2 linked regions of the Stegostoma tigrinum genome follow. The protein of the gene in region 1 interacts with the protein of each later gene in a pairwise test. Links are inferred from orthologs where the notes say so. Each region holds a gene or a part of one and is shown in the gene's direction. Other genes may lie near its edges. The genes, in order: tnnt1 and nfe2l2a.

Region 1 (8,192 bases):
CACATCCTGCTTTGAGAAAAACTGATCTGCATTGCAAGTCAAAATTGAATTGTATGCAAGTTTACAAGTTTACAAAATATTACTTTGTAAAAATCTACGTCAGATGTATGCACAAAGCACTGTCTTACACAGGGGAGTGGCGTGGGAAGAGGTAACCATAGAAAATAGGAGCTGCAGTAGGCTTTTCAGCCCTTGAGCCTGTTCCATCATTCAATATAATTGCAGCCTTTTATTTATTCATTCATAGGATGTGGATGTTGCAGGCCAGGTGAATATTTATAACCCATACCTAATTGCCCAGAGGGTATCCAGAGTCACACATAGACCAGGATGGCAGATTTCCTTCTCTAAAGGAAGGGCATCAGAATTAGAATTAGAATTAGCTTCATTATCATGTGTACTCAAATGAATTCAGTAAAAAAAAGTTTACAAGTCATCTCTTACAGCACCGTTTTAGATACAAAGGGACCTAGGTACAGCTTCTTCAGTTACAAGATGTTAGAAGGATAGTGAAATAAAATGTCCAGCATTGCAGAAATAAAAGTTCAGAACAAAGGTCTTCCAACCCCGACCATGTTTGCACCTAGCCTGCTGTACACACCCGGCATTGGCTCCAGACTGTGCTGGGCTTCACCTCAAGGTTCATGAGGCTGGTAGATCACTGTGGAATCACCTCAAGATCATGAGGCCATGCCAGGCCAAGGGACAGCCACACCATGCTGGGAGTCTGCCACGCCACATCAGGAGGCCACCATGTTTGGCCAGGAGACAACTACACCAGAGAGAACCCTCTATTAGAGGACCCCCCCCCCGCATCATGTCTGCACTGAGGCCGCGAGTCATCGGATCAATGAACCAGGATAATAAAACGTGAGGCTGGATGAACACAGCAGGCCAAGCAGCATCTCAGGAGCACAAAAGCTGACGTTTCGGGCCTAGACCCTTCATCAGAGAGGGGGATGGGGGGAGGGAACTGGAATAAATAGGGAGAGAGGGGGAGGCGGACCGAAGATGGAGAGTACAAGAGAGTTGCAATGGGAGAGAGATTCCCTGAGGTTGGTCCGGAGGGAGGAGGGCTGTGTTAGCCTCACATTTTATTATCTTGTGCTCCTGAGATGCTGCTTGGCCTGCTGTGTTCATCCAGCCTCACATTTTGTTATCTTGGAATCTCCAGCATCTGCAGTTCCCATTATCTCTGATACTATTTTAACCTCACTGCGAAGCCTCTTCCAGGGATGCCTAACCTGAAGAAGTTACCCTCCTCCCTCCGGACCAACCTCAGGGAATCTCTCTCCCATTGCAACTCTCTTGTACTCTCCATCTTCGGTCCGCCTCCCCCTCTCTCCCTATTTATTCCAGTTCCCTCCCCCCATCCCCCTCTCTGATGAAGGGTCTAGGCCCGAAACGTCAGCTTTTGTGCTCCTGAGATGCTGCTTGGCCTGCTGTGTTCATCCAGCCTCACATTTTATTATCTTGGAATCTCCAGCATCTGCAGTTCCCATTATCTCTGATACTATTTTAACCTCACTGCGAAGCCTCTTCCAGGGATGCCTAACCTGAAGAAGTTACCCTCCTCCCTCCGGACCAACCTCAGGGAATCTCTCTCCCATTGCAACTCTCTTGTACACTCCATCTTCGGTCCGCCTCCCCCTCTCTCCCTATTTATTCCAGTTCCCTCCCCCCATCCCCCTCTCTGATGAAGGGTCTAGGCCCGAAACGTCAGCTTTTGTGCTCCTGAGATGCTGCTTGGCCTGCTGTGTTCATCCAGCCTCACATTTTATTATCTTGGAATCTCCAGCATCTGCAGTTCCCATTATCTCTGATACTATTTTAACTTCACTGCGAAGCCTCTTCCAGGGATGCCTAACCTGAAGAAGTTACCCTCCTCCCTCCGGACCAACCTCAGGGAATCTCTCTCCCATTGCAACTCTCTTGTACTCTCCATCTTCGGTCCGCCTCCCCCTCTCTCCCTATTTATTCCAGTTCCCTCCCCCCATCCCCCTCTCTGATGAAGGGTCTAGGCCCGAAACGTCAGCTTTTGTGCTCCTGAGATGCTGCTTGGCCTGCTGTGTTCATCCAGCCTCACATTTTATTATCTTGGAATCTCCAGCATCTGCAGTTCCCATTATCTCGGATCAATGAACCAGATGGGGTTTTCCAATCATCAACAACAGTGTAATGGTTGCCATCAGTTTTTTTTTACAATTGAATCCAAATTCCACCATCTGCTATGGCAGGATTTGAACATGGGACCCCATGACAGTTACCTGTGTCTCTGGATTAATAGTCCAGCCACAATACCACTAGGTCATCACCTCCTGCTTTATCCCTTCAGCCCTAAGTACTGTATCCAACTCCTTCTGGAAAACATCCTATGTTTAGTCCTCCAAATTTTTCTATGGCAACGAATTTGTCAGGGTCACTGCTGTCTGAGTGAAGACATTTCACTTCATCTCAGTCCTAAATAGCCTATCCCATTTCTTTACTGCACGATCCCTGCTTCTGGACTCCCCAGTTATCAGGAAAATACTTTCTGTGTTTACCATAGATAAATGGGCAGGCATTTGAACCGTTACGGTTGCAGCTTGGGGTCAAGCAATGGAAAAGAGAATGATGTTATTCTGAAAAACAGGACATCTTAAGATGTACATGATGGGACCGCAGGATGGAAGAGGCAGGTGGAAAAACATTGGAACAGCTGACAGAAGACTTCAGAAACCAAAGTGGAATTAGCTGTGTGATCAAATTGAAGAAATGTGGGATAATTTGGGTCGGGATAAAAGCATAAAATCACTTTTTGTGATTGTATGGCAGCTATTTCAATGGAAGTGCTAATCTAATCTAATCTAAATGTGGTCATGTTTCCATTAAAAGAATTGATGCACATCTCTACTACGTGATGCGATTCCATGATTTTATCATGATGTGGAGGTGCTAGTGATGGACTGGGGTGCCCAAAGTCGGATGTCACATGACACCACATTATAACCCAACAGGTTTATTTGAAATCACAAGCTTTTGGAGCATTGCTCCTTCATCAGGTGAACGTGGTGTGTGACTTCTGTCTATGATAATATCACCAATGAGAATTTTGTGGTTGCTTCACACCTCTCCAGTTTGAACACTTTGTTCTTGGGTTCAATAGGCTAACAGGAAAGTGGAATGATCTCGGCCCTCTGTCTTCTCCTGTCCTCAGATATTTCCACAGATGCATACCAGCTGCTAAACAGCACGTAGAGATGCACAGTCCTCTCTTTTCCCTCAAACATAAATGAAGATTCACCTCCTTTACCCGTTCAGCTGCTCCCCTCTTTGTCTCCCAGTACAAATACTAGCTGTCTCTCTCTACTTCCATTTGCTATCCCGCTTCCTCTTGTTTGTACGGATACCTTCTGAGGAAGGGCCACGTGACCCAAAAAGTTAACTGATTTCTCTCCAGACATTGCCAGGCCTGCTGAGCTTTTCTGGCAATTTCTGTTTTTGTCTCAGGACACCCGCCTTGAGCCCTACTTTGTACAGATCCCATTACTCCTTGTCTCATTGTACAGAAAATACTTACAGGATCATTAGATTTTATGGTACAGAAGAAGCCATTTGGCCCATTGTGTCTGTACCAGCTTCCAAAAGACCCTCCCAGCTAATCCCACTCTCCAGCCCTATCTCCGTAGCCCTCTAACATCATCCCTTTCAAATATATTTCCAGCTCTCTTTTGAAATCTTCCACGGAAACCACCTCCACCACTCTCCCAGGCCGCACATTGCAAATACCAAGAACTCTTTGAGTAAAGAAGATTTCCCTCATCTCACTCGGAGCCCTCATGCTGACAATCTTGAAATTGTGACCCCTAGTTATTAACATACCAACTAATGGAAACAGAATATCTATAGAACTCCTTCCACACCTCCCTTACAATGCCCCACCCTCTTTCAGACAAGGCTGAACCCTCACTTTGTCCAAGCATCTTGTGAAGCCATCCACAAGTATGATATTTTGAAGCAATAGAGTCATAGAGATGTACAGCATGGAAACAGACCTTTCGGTCCAACCCATCCATGCCAACCAGATATCCTAAACAAATCTGGTCCCATTTGGCAGCATTTGGCCCATATCCCTCATGTACCCATCCTGGTTCCTTTTAAATGTTGTCATTGTACCAGCCTCCACCACCTCCTCTGGCAGCTCGATCCATATACCTACCTCCCTCTGCATGAAAATATTGCCCCTCAGGTCCGTTCTAAATATTTCCCGGTCACCTTAAACCTATGTCATCGAGTTTTGGACTCCCCTACCCTGGGGAAAAGACCTTGACTATTCACTCTATCCATGCCCCTCATGATTTTATAAACTTCTATAAGGACACGTCTCATCCTCCGATGCTCCAGGGAAAACAACCTCTCGCTATACCTCAAACCCTCCTACCATGGCAACATCATTGTGAATCTTTTCTGAACCCTTTCAAGTTTCACAACATCTTTTCTGTAGCAGGAAGAACAGAACTGAAAGCCCTATTCCAAAAGTGACCTAACCAATAAAAAAAATTCCACATTCGATGGATTTTTTATTTGCCTTCTGCTGATCCTGTACATTATCAAGACTTTCTCCATGTTATCAGCCTCTGTCTCCATCCAGTATCATTTATTCTTCTTTAACATGTAAGTCTATTTAAAGGAACACACCAAATTTCCTCTTTGTTCTCCTTTGCACAGAGACCAGCCAAATAAAGACGGAGTGTCAGATTTCCCAGGCTAGTCTGTCCTGTAATTCCTGCCCTGTCTTCACTCTTTAACAGACACAGGAGGCATTCACATCCATCTCTCTCTCTCCCTTTATTCCTTTCTCCAACAGCCTTTTTCAGGTAAGGCAAAGCTGTTTGTTTAGTAGAGCTAGCTCAATCTGGCTCCTATAGTTAAAGGATAAAGGTACTTCTTTCCAATTTTCCTTCCTTTCTTGTGGCTTCCGTTTGGGAACCAAGGAGTAGAACCCAGTGATGTTGGATCCTGGATCCAATGATTCGGTACTGAAACATTTCTCATTGATAGCAAGGCTGTCCATATCAGGGATTATCTTGATTGTGGATTGTGTTTGATGATTCAAAAGGCCTCAAATTAATTTAATCATGTGAACTCCTTTTATTTTAAAGTGCATTGAGTAAAAATTGATCATGGTGACAGAGTTTTGCTGCACAGCGTTGATCATCAGAGGAGCTCGATTCTTTGCTGATTGCGATCACTGTAGTTTTTGGTCAGCGATTCTGATCGCTTCGTAAGGACAATGTATAGCTCAGCCGTTCTCAGTATAGCTGAGTTGCTTGGTTTCAACCATGGGAACCAGTTCTGACGCTGCAAAAAAGCTCAGCACCTACTTAGCGAGAGAAAAAAAAATCAAGAAAGGTCACACACTTCTGATTGCATCAGGTTTCTTCACCTTCAGAAGCTAGGGGCACGCCAATGTTGAGTGACAATAGAGCTGCACTGTGATGGCTCTATATTCAACTGAAACTCGCTGTCTGAGTTCATTCATAAAGAACAGCAACTCAGGTGAGGCATCAGAGGTCTCCTAGCAGAAGCTAATGGGAACAGGAGAGCAGGTTAATGAAGAAGAAAAGTTATTTGCAATACAGGAAGGGGCAGTACCAGAAATAATATTCATAATCCACTTGAAAATAAAGCTATTACTAGGGTCAATTTTTGCATCAGTTTACAATCTAGCATGCACCCTAATTATGTATCTGTGTTTTCCCATTTGGGATTGTAGTCGTTAGTTTTGAAATAATGTTCCGGTTGGCGACTTATTCCAAAGTATGCTAATATTTGATACCACTCCCCGTCTTCCACAATGTGTTGTTGAGATTATCTGAGATGATAACTGTGACAACGGATCTGGAAACACAAGACGGTTGGAAGGAACACGACTGCAAAAGTGTGATTGTAGGTGGTTGCAAAGCCAACAACAGCTGCAACAAGTTGCATTGATATAGCCCCTCAGGGTCTCAAGGTGATTTACAAGAATGTAATCAGACAAAGATGGGGATCAATCCAAAGAAGGAGCTGGTAGGACAAACTGGCCAAACGTTGATCAAAGACATCAGCTTTCAGAAAATATCTTGGAGGAAGGGAAGCAGGTGGAGGGTCTGGGTAAGGAGGGAGGGGATTCCAGAGCTTCGTGCCGTGATCACCAAAGGTGAGGCTGGCAAGCATGAGCTGGAGGAAGTGGATGATGTGAAAGTGGCCAAAGTTGAAGGAATTGCAGGGTTCTGTCAGCGGGCTAGGGAGGAAGGGAGGGGCGAGGTCATGTGGAGCTTTGAAAGCAGGGAATTTACATATCGTGAATTATCTGCTTCTGTGACTGTCATTAAACTCAGAGTTGAAACCATATGGGAAATCTGTTTTATGCTTCAGAAAATGTAAAATTTCCATTCTATTTCTACCTTATTTTAACTGGTGTGAATAAACTGCTTCCACGATAGAAGTACATGCTTAAAATTATTAGAAAGTTTGAATTTTGTTTCTTGTTTGAAAAATATTTTAACAAGTCACACAACGCCAGGTTATAATCCAACAGGCTTATTTGAAATCACAAGCTTTGGGAGCACTGCAGCTTTGTCAGTGAAGTTCTGAGTCTTGTCTTCGGCACTCTATAGGGCTCCAATGAATCGCAGCGTAAACTGGTGAAACAACATCTCATCTTCAGACTAGGCACTTGACAGCCTTCTGGACTTAATATCGAGTTCAACACCTTCAAATGGTGAACCAATTCCCATTCCTTCCCTTCCTTTTAGCTTTACCTGTTACATTCTCTGTGAAAGTGTCTTCTCTCCCCTGCCCCCCACTTCCGAAGGGACTGTCTGTTTTTCAAACATAATAGATATCTTTATGCACACCACTGTTCTGCCATTCTCACATTCTGGTCACTTAATCTGAACAACAAACATTCTTGCTGCCCTCAGCACTCCAACCCCACCCTCCCCCATCTATTGCATAAATGCTGCACCCCACCAACACTTCACGCTAGCTCTGATGAAGAGTCATCTAAGCTCGAAATGTTAGCTTGCTCCCTCTCTAAGAATGCTGCCTGACCCGCTGTGATCTCCAGAATTTGTTATTTGCAGTACACGCTCCAGCATCTGCAGTAATTTGCTCCTCAAATATTGTGGATTCATTATCTGTTATCGACTAATCCCCTACAGTTTGCTATTCCAGGCACATAAATGTTGCACAGCTGCACAGACCAAGGTTGTATTCCTTCGAGATAACAAAGTGTGGAGCTGAATGAACACAGCAGGCCAAGCAGCATCTTAGGAGCACAAAAGCTGACGTTTCGGGCCTAGACCCTTCTAGTCTAGATGACTAAGAGGTGATATAATTAAGGTGTTCAAGATTACTGAAGGATATTGTGAGATGGAGAGAGAGAGGAACTATTTCATCCGATAGGGAACAAGGGGGCGTGACGTTAAAACGAGACCCAGGCTGATAAGGGAACAATACCGTGTGCTTAGGTTAGTGGGAGTTTGAGGCTAAAGTGTCAACTGAAATTTCAAAACTGACATTGATGGATTTTCATTGGCCGATGACATTGCAGGTCACACAGCAGCAGTGAGTAAATAAAATGAAATTAGAGATGACCTATTTGAATTAGGGAACAGTCTCCAGGGGCTGAGAGACCTCCGCCCATTCCTTTCCTCCTATGAATGCAGAATTTTTATAAACTTCTGTGTGTGCTGTTCTTGTTGCACGGGTTACTGACTTGTCAATGTCACCGAGTAAAATAATTGGCTGGGTATTACGCACCTCTTCCACATTTAGGGAGTGAGGGCCATGTAAAATACAGCAGGTGCCCAGCCTGTCACCTACCCAACTCTGAGCTCATTCCCCGTAAGGTGGGGAATGGCAAAGACTGGAATCGTTTATGTACAAGGTTACCCCGATCCCCTTTATATATGTTGCAGCATTCTACAGTTTCTGTCCTTTTAAATAATATTTTGAATTCCTGTTCTTCCTGCCAAAGTGGGGAATATTGCATTTTCCCGCATTATGTTCCATCTGCTGCAGAATCTGGCAATGGTTCTAAAAGAGCAACTAGTGCTGGTATGTGGTCACAGTTTGATGTCAATCTTGCCCTGGCTCAGTCTAAGTGTGCGCATGGATGAATGGAAGGAGTTACTTTTGTTTTCACTTCCTTGCAGGTTTAGTGT
Region 2 (8,040 bases), on another chromosome or scaffold:
TGCTTTTTTGTCATTTATATAAATTATTTTTAATGTGAACATAGGAGGCATGGTTAGTAAGTTTGCAGATGAAACCAAAATTGGTGGAGTAGTGGGCAGTGAAGAAGGTTACTCAAAGAACCATAAGACATAGGAGTGGAAGTAAGGCCATTCGGCCCATCAAGTCCACTCCGCCATTTAAATCATCGCTGATGGGCATTTCAACACCACTTCCCTGCACTCTCCCCGTAGCCCTTGATTCCTTTGAGATCAAGAATTTGTCGATCTCTGCCGTGAAGGCATCCAATGTCCCGGCCTCCACTGCACTCTGCGGCAAGTAATTCCGCAAGCCCACCACTCTCTGGCTGAAGAAATGTCGTCTCATTTCAGTTTTAAATTTACCCCCTCTAATTTTAAGGCTGTGCCCACGGGTCCTAGTCTCCCCGCCTAACGGAAACAACGGAATCTTGATCAAATGCGCCAATGGGCTGAGGAGTGGCAGATAGAGTTTAATTTAAATAAATGTGAGGGGCTGCATTTTGGAAAGGCCAATCAGGGCAGAGCTTATACACTGAATGATAAGGCCCAGGGGTGTGTTGCTGAACAGTGAGACCTTGGAATGCAGGTTCATATTTCCTCAAAAGTAGAGTTATTAGGATAGTGAAGAAGGCATTTGGTATGTTTGCCTTTATTAGTAAGTTGATTGAGTATAGAAGCTCTCTGATGAAGGGTCTAGGCCCGAAACGTCAGCTTTTGTGCTCCTGAGATGCTGCTGGGCCTGTTGTGTTCATCCAGCCTCACATTTTATTATCTTGGATTCTCCAGCATCTGCAGTTCCCATTATCACTGAATATAGAAGTTAGGAGGTCATGTTGCAGCTGTACAGGACATTGGTTAGCCCACTATTGGAATACTGCATGCAATTCTGGTCTCCCTGCTTTAGGAAGGAAGTTGTGAAACTTGAAAGGGCTCGGAAAAGATTTACAAGGATGTTGCCAGAGTAGAGGGCTTGAGCTATAGAGAGAGTATGAATAGGCTACTACTATTTTCCCTCGAGTATCGGAGGCTGTGGGGTGACCTTATAGAAGTTTATAAAATCACAACGATTCTGGATGGGGTGAATAGACAAGGTCTTTTTCCTAGGGTAGAGGAGTTCAAAACCAGGGGGCATAGGTCTATGATGAGAGGGGAAAGATTTAAAAGGGATCTAAGGGGCAACTTTTTCACATAGAGAGTGGTGCTTATATGGAGTAAGCAGCCAGAGGAAGTGGTGGAGGCTACTACAATTGCAACATTTAAAAGGCATCTGGATGGGTACTTGATTAGGAAGGGTTTAAAGTGATATGGACTAAATACTGGCAAATGGAACCAGATTAATTTAGGGTATCTGGTTGGCATGATGAGTTGGACCGAAGTGCCTGTTTCCCTGCTGTACATCTCTATGAGCCTATGACTCAGTGAGATTTGTGTGGATATTACCAGGACTGAAAACGTTAGTTATAAGGAAAGATTACATAGGCTGAAGTTGTTCTCCTTGCAATAGAGGAAGCTGAAGGGAGATTTAATTGAGGTGTACAAAATTGTCAGGGACCTGAATAAGGACTTACGGAAAGGACTTATTTACCTCAGCAGAGCTGTCAGTAATGAGGGGGCACAGGGTTGAAGTGATTGGTGGAAAGATCAGAAAGCAGATTAGGAATATATTTTTTCATTCACAGGACGGAGACTGCCTGAAATAGTAGTAGAGATAGAAGCTCTGGACTAATTTCAAAAGATGTCTGGGATAACCATTATGAGCACTGGAGCTGAAGAGCTATGAACTAAATGCGGCAAAGTGAGATAACAGCAGGCTGTTCGATTTTTGACTGGCACAGACACAATGGGCCAAATGACTTTTATTTTCCTTCCTATAGATATTCTATAAATGTTCCTACTGAAATAAATCACCTCATGCTACATTGGTGAATACTGAGTTTCGTTTTTATTTAAACCTGTTTTCAACTTTTCTAATGTTTTATGTTCTTCAATTTGTGTTAAATAATTCTGAGTGTGATACATTTTATGAAGTCATTCTTGAACAGTAATTTTCACTGTGAAATCTTTGAAATTATATCTGTAACTGTTACTTCAAAACTAAATCAATCTGCAGTCATTTTCTGTGATGGAAATGGAGCAAATACCGTATAAACCTTTTTGCAGTCTAAATTGGAACTTATTTCATCACTCAGATATTTGAACATTATAAATTTGGTACTTTTAGAGACTTTGCCTACATCCTGGACCCTCCACAAAAGTGTGTATCATCCAGAAAATTGAGGATCCAATGTCACAAACTTTTATTAATTTATCAATAGTTTCCCTGAATCAATTTCCCTCACTGCCAGCCTGCTAAATTGATGGAGGGTGTTCAAGAAGCCATTGTCAGAGGACGAGAGAGTGCTGGAGCATTGGAAGAGTACATAAAAGGGATTTACAGATGAATATTAAATTGAAAGCATTGACGGATCCCAAATCTTCAGCGTGTGGTTGGCAATTTATATACATGCTACATGTACAGATGATCATACGAATGTAACTGTGATCTAATCAATAATCCATGGCTGAAACAGTTTTATGTCAGATGATAAGGAAACCTAAGGTGTTAAAAAAGGCATTTAGCAAGCCTATCTTCATTGCACAGACCATTATGTATAGGAGTTGGGATGTTATGTTGAGGTTGAACAGGATATTAGTTAGGCCACTCTTGGAGTGCTCTGTACAGTTCTGGTTGCCCTGCTTAGGAAAGTTATTACTAATTTGCAACATTTAACATGTACAGGCTCATGAATAGGAAATGTTTGGAGGTTTGTGGGCCAAATGCAGGCAAATGAGACTTTTTTTTTAAATTTGGGAAACGTAGACAGCATGGATGAGTTGGCACAAAGGGTCTGTTTCGGTTCTTTATGACTTTGTGCTGTCCAATAGTGTTGACTATATGGTCCTCCATCCTTTATACTTATGTCTAGGGTGTTGTCAGAATGCCAAGCTACTCTCCCCAATGCCAAATGTCCGAACCGAATGAAATCCAAAGTAGCATTAAGGAAAATTGAATGTTTGAAATACACAATAAAGTTGGAAAATGTACGTAGATCCGTCGGGTAAAATAATATTTTCTCGTTTGAAATTTTCTGCGAATTTCCTGTATTCTATGGTTTTAATTTTGAAATCCAATAATTTCACTTCCTCAAAAGGTACAGAAGTGGGAAAAATACAGTATTTCTACTTTAATTGTTCTGGATGTGCAACTAAATAACTACGAAATTTTATATATAAACATACTGAAGTTTTTGTCTTCATTGAATGCTGCAACAAAATTATATACAGGTATTCATTTATAGACAGTCTGGGAATATAAAGATTTAAATTTAATTTAGAAAGCAATTGTGAGGGTATGCTGATCACAAACTGTCTGTGTCTTAAATTCATTCATGGGATGTGAGTGTTGCTGTCATTTATTGCCTATTCCTTGCCATACCGATTTTAATCAATAGTATTTCTATCTTTATTGATCAGCTTTGATGTTTAACATGTTTTCACTTCGGAGCAGGTAGGTAGGTAAAACTTCGTAAAACTGTCCGTTTTACCTTCGGCACAGCCTGCATATGAGGATTTAAAATGCAAAACACAATCCTAAAAACGTTATGAAATAACATTTTTAAAAATTGCCATTTATCGCAACATTGCTTCATATGCGGCCCTGCTGCCCTACCGTGGAGGCAGCACCATTGCGCAATTTCAGGGACGTCATTTAAAAGGGGACTTTTTGCCGAGAATGTTTTCCAGTTCCTCAGGAAGGTTCTGAGACCGACTGCGGAGGCGGGCCAGACATTATGCGATGGATTGTATTTCGTGTGAGTGCTTATGAAAAAAGCTCTTTGGATAAACATCGATGTCAGCTTCAAATTTTAACTATTGTACATCTATACTGAATTGAATGTCTCTTTAAACCTGATTGAATGAAGTGGTTTTATTTGTTGATTTTGTTTTTTCCTAGATATAGCCTTTTAAAACTATATATATTTTCTATTCGTATTTCGATTAAATACGTGACCATTTCTAAACTTATTTTTTAAAATGCTTATATCCAATGGTTTTGCTATAAGTACTGTAAGTATCAAACTTCCTGGGGGAGGGATTTAAGCCATATTATGAAAGCTGATCTTGTTCACGGTCATTTCGAATTTTAAGTGTTAATATACCATTTTCATCCTTTATGTCCACAATACCCTGTATTTTTTAATACATGTAAATACATAGACCTATACGGAGAGGATATGCTCCTATTACAATAAAACAAACTATACTCTTAATTATACGGCGTTGCTGATCCTGGGGTTATGAATGATCTCTTTAGATTTGAAATCAATCAAAAAGCCAGACATTACCATTTGTGCAATATTTTGCACTCAACGTGCGGGTCTGTACCGCTCCTTTTCATACAATCAAATTATACCTGGCACAAAGTGTTCGGTTCGGAAGACCGGACTGACGATGACGGCTGGGTGGAGGAACGGCCTGATGATCGACAGGGTGGGAGCGAATCGCAATGGTGGGGGCGGGACGTGAAGCGTGATTGACGGAGAGACGCGGCCTGTTGAGTGGTCCGGGCGGCGGTGGGCAGGGCTAGGGCTGAGTCTCGCGGAGCTCTGGCCAGCGTGCGTCATAAGAGCTGGAAGAGTCAGGCCGGTTGCGCGTGATCGAAGGGGGTGATAGGTAGCGACGATGGAGATCGAGCGGTCAGTGGCGCAGCAGCAGGTACAGATGCCAGTCGGTGTCTAGTAATCTCTCAGCGACAGCTTCAGTATAGACAGCAGGGAAACGTTGCGGAGCAAATTGACCGGAGGCGGCCCGGGGGAAAACATGTAGCAAAGGGAGGCAAGCTAGTTAAACTTTAAAGATAGTTTGCTCTGACCGTGTTACGCGAAGGTTTTCAATGTGGCGGTGGATCGTTTACGTGAAAATGTACAGGTTCTCGTGAATAAAGTAAATTGGGTGGCTAGTTTTAAGATCGCGGTCATTTGTCTCTCCTCCTTCCCCTCATCAATTTTCATCATCTTTTTGGATTGGACTTCCTCACCCATCTACTCCTACGACATATTTTCGAAGCCTCTGACGATATGAAGCGCAACGATGGGACCTGGGCATTTGCCCAAAGCGTTATTTCGGAATCTGCGCCAAACTTATTGCACAATGCCAAGTCATTTTATTGTCCTGAAAAGTGTCTGAAAAAGATTGGCCGCAAGGACATTTGTCTGTATCGTTCGGGTCCCCATGATGGTAACTTTGCGTGGGCCAGTGCAGCGTTTCCCAGTCTTGTGATTTTTTTTCTTCTGAAGAGCTTTCGAGCTTGGTTGTCGTCTGACCCCTTGAGGTTTCCAGCTGATATCAGGGTGTGATCTTGTTCCCACCCACAAGCCTTTACAGTAACTGAATGGCAGGTGAAAGACAAGCTGGTCTGACAAGGGTTTGGTTCTGTTTATCGAACGCTCAGTAAACGTAGTGATTAAAAATAAAATCTAGTGTCTTCTTTTAAACTTTAAACTCTTTCCCTTCCTCTCCGTAACCTGTCAAACCGCTTGTTCCTCCTTTATTTGTCCTAACATTTCAATTCGGTGTGTTGTGTCACGTGAGTTGCATTCGCGTTTGGCTAGATTCCTGACCTTTAGTACGAGTGCAGCGATTGTAGGACAGCATTTTTTTTCTGGTAGTAAATGATTGATATCGATGCCTTGACTGATTTGCGTGATGATGTGAAATACTTACTGTACGGTGAAGGTCATTAGCCACAGATGGAATCTCGTAATGGTTGCAGTACAAGAAGCCGTTCCACCCGTTTTGTTCCGGCTGGATCTACAGAGTTCGGATCAAATTAATTAGTCAACTTCTTGGCTGTGTATTGTACAAAGTAAAGGATGAAAATGGAGATAACAATTTTTCAAAAAAAAGTTTTTAAAGAACAATGGAGGCCTGCCAAGGAATTATTCTACTTTTGTCTATTGCTCCATCACTGAAATTTGCAACCCTTGTTATTTTATTATTGGGAAGGTTCACAGCTGTATGAAGTTGTTGTCTAGGTACCTTTGCTAAGTTTTTACTCAATCTAGTTGTCTTTAGTGTAGGCATTGTTTAATTACTTTAACTGCTAATTTACATGTTCAAACATTTCATTTCCTTCCTTTCTAATTGGCTGTTGTTTTGATCCAATGCCGTACTCTGGGCACTAAGAATATTATGAAAAAGAACTGTTTACTTTTTTCTTTTAAAAAAAACTGTATAATATGCCTAGGTGAGTCAAAAATTCCTTTGCCTGTCAATCACTGACAGTCAGCATTTCTACAGCACTCTTCAGTGTGTTGTGTCACGCCAGGTAAAATATCTCTGGGTGATTGATGGGAGTGTTATCAAACAAAATTAAACCATGAGTTATTCGGTCATTTGACCGATAGCCTGCTCAAAGATGTACATTTCAAGTCATGTCTTAAAGAAACCAAGAGGTTTGTGAAATAAGTGTTGCTTCAAGTGTGCAAAAGTCCACTTTGGATGGATTTGTACGGTGCACTAGTTTTATTTTGGTCATGCTGGCTACTAGCTATGTAACTACACTTCATGGCTGCAGCCCAGTTGTTAAGGTAGGTAATCAATAGCCAATAGCAAGTTTACTTTGAAATGGAGAGAAGGATGGAGGTAAATCTCGATCTGTTGACTTGATTACCCATTTGTATTTGTTACTCGTGGATTGAAAATATCTATTGGTGTTCCTTAATTTTGTGTTAAGAGATAACAAGGTGTGGAGCTGGATGAACACAGGCCGAGCAGAATCAGAGGAGGACGGCTGACGTTTTGGGCCCATCAGCTTGCAAAATTGCAGTAACGTTTCCTGGCTGAGAAGCCACAATCAGAAAAGCACATACGTCGTCACTCATTATATTTTTTTCCCACGATAGTAAGAATCTGCATCTGAATGAGCCTGTGCATACCTTTTCATGACTCCACAAGCCAATGTCATTTTTGGACTACCCAGAGGATGTTAGATGCAGCTGCCTGAAAGGTGATGCAAATGAATTTCTGGTTTGATCAGCACCGTAAGACTGTCCCCATATCTATGAATTCTGGAGTTCCCAAGGATTTATCCTTGAAACTCACCCTCTTTTTTTCATGGAGATGCTGTTTGCTGACATCAGCTGTAGACGTATTCCAAATGTATCATGAAACCTGGCTTTACCTTGCCACCAACACTCTCCACTTAATCACTATCTTTTTGTTTTGTCAGATTATTTGTCTAACATGCTCACAATTATAAAATTTGGGAGGAACAAAGCATTTGAAGCTAGCTACCAATTTCATTCTGCTACCCGACAGCTATCTCTGTCTGAATCAGAATTTGCCACTTTGGTGTTCGACTTGACTCTGAGGATTTCCAATCTCATGTACTTTCCATCATACAGGCCACCTGCTTATGATGATCCACTGAGTCAGGCAATCTGCTGCTGAAACCTTAACCCTCTTATTTTCAGGCTTGACTATTTGAGTTCTCTCCACCTGATGAGCACTGAACTAAAAGAGACATTAGAAGTGGTGAATAAATGTTTGGTCAAAAAGCTGGTTTTAAGAAATCTCTTAAAGGAGAAAGGAAAGGTTTGACAAGGGAACTGGAACATAATGACAATACAGTTAATGGGTCACTTCCCATTTTACACTGCCAATGGTGGGACAAGACAGAAGAGGTCCAGCTGAGAACAATGCTATATTTAGGAAGTTGAAGGACTTGACAATACTATGAAAGAGACAAGTCAGAACACTTGTAAGCATAAGGACTACTTGAAATTTGAACAGTGCAGGACCATGATCCAATATAGATAAATGAACCTGGAGTACATTGGATTGAAATGAAGTGTAGAGTTTTTGGTTGAACTTCCATTTGTGGGAAATGGGAGGTTGACCAGGGAGCACTGGAATTGTCCGATGTGACTAAGACATAAACAAATTCATAATAAGTATGAGGCCAAGTTAGGCTATAGTTAC

What was found.
Region 2: the proteins of tnnt1 (region 1) and nfe2l2a interact in binary tests that used the Homo sapiens proteins (3 or more experiments, as listed by UniProt). The two-hybrid records come from large-scale screens. The link is inferred for Stegostoma tigrinum from reciprocal best matches to the Homo sapiens genes TNNT1 and NFE2L2.

Annotation. Positions count from the first base shown.
Region 1 is NC_081391.1:18,771,024-18,779,215, reverse strand, and holds the start of tnnt1 (troponin T, slow skeletal muscle), read left to right. Parts: upstream 1-4,744; 5' UTR 4,745-4,856; intron 4,857-8,192. UniProt on the Homo sapiens protein: Troponin T is the tropomyosin-binding subunit of troponin, the thin filament regulatory complex which confers calcium-sensitivity to striated muscle actomyosin ATPase activity.
Region 2 is NC_081360.1:45,395,376-45,403,415, forward strand, and holds the start of nfe2l2a (nuclear factor erythroid 2-related factor 2a), read left to right. Parts: upstream 1-4,657; 5' UTR 4,658-4,740; coding exon 4,741-4,773; intron 4,774-8,040.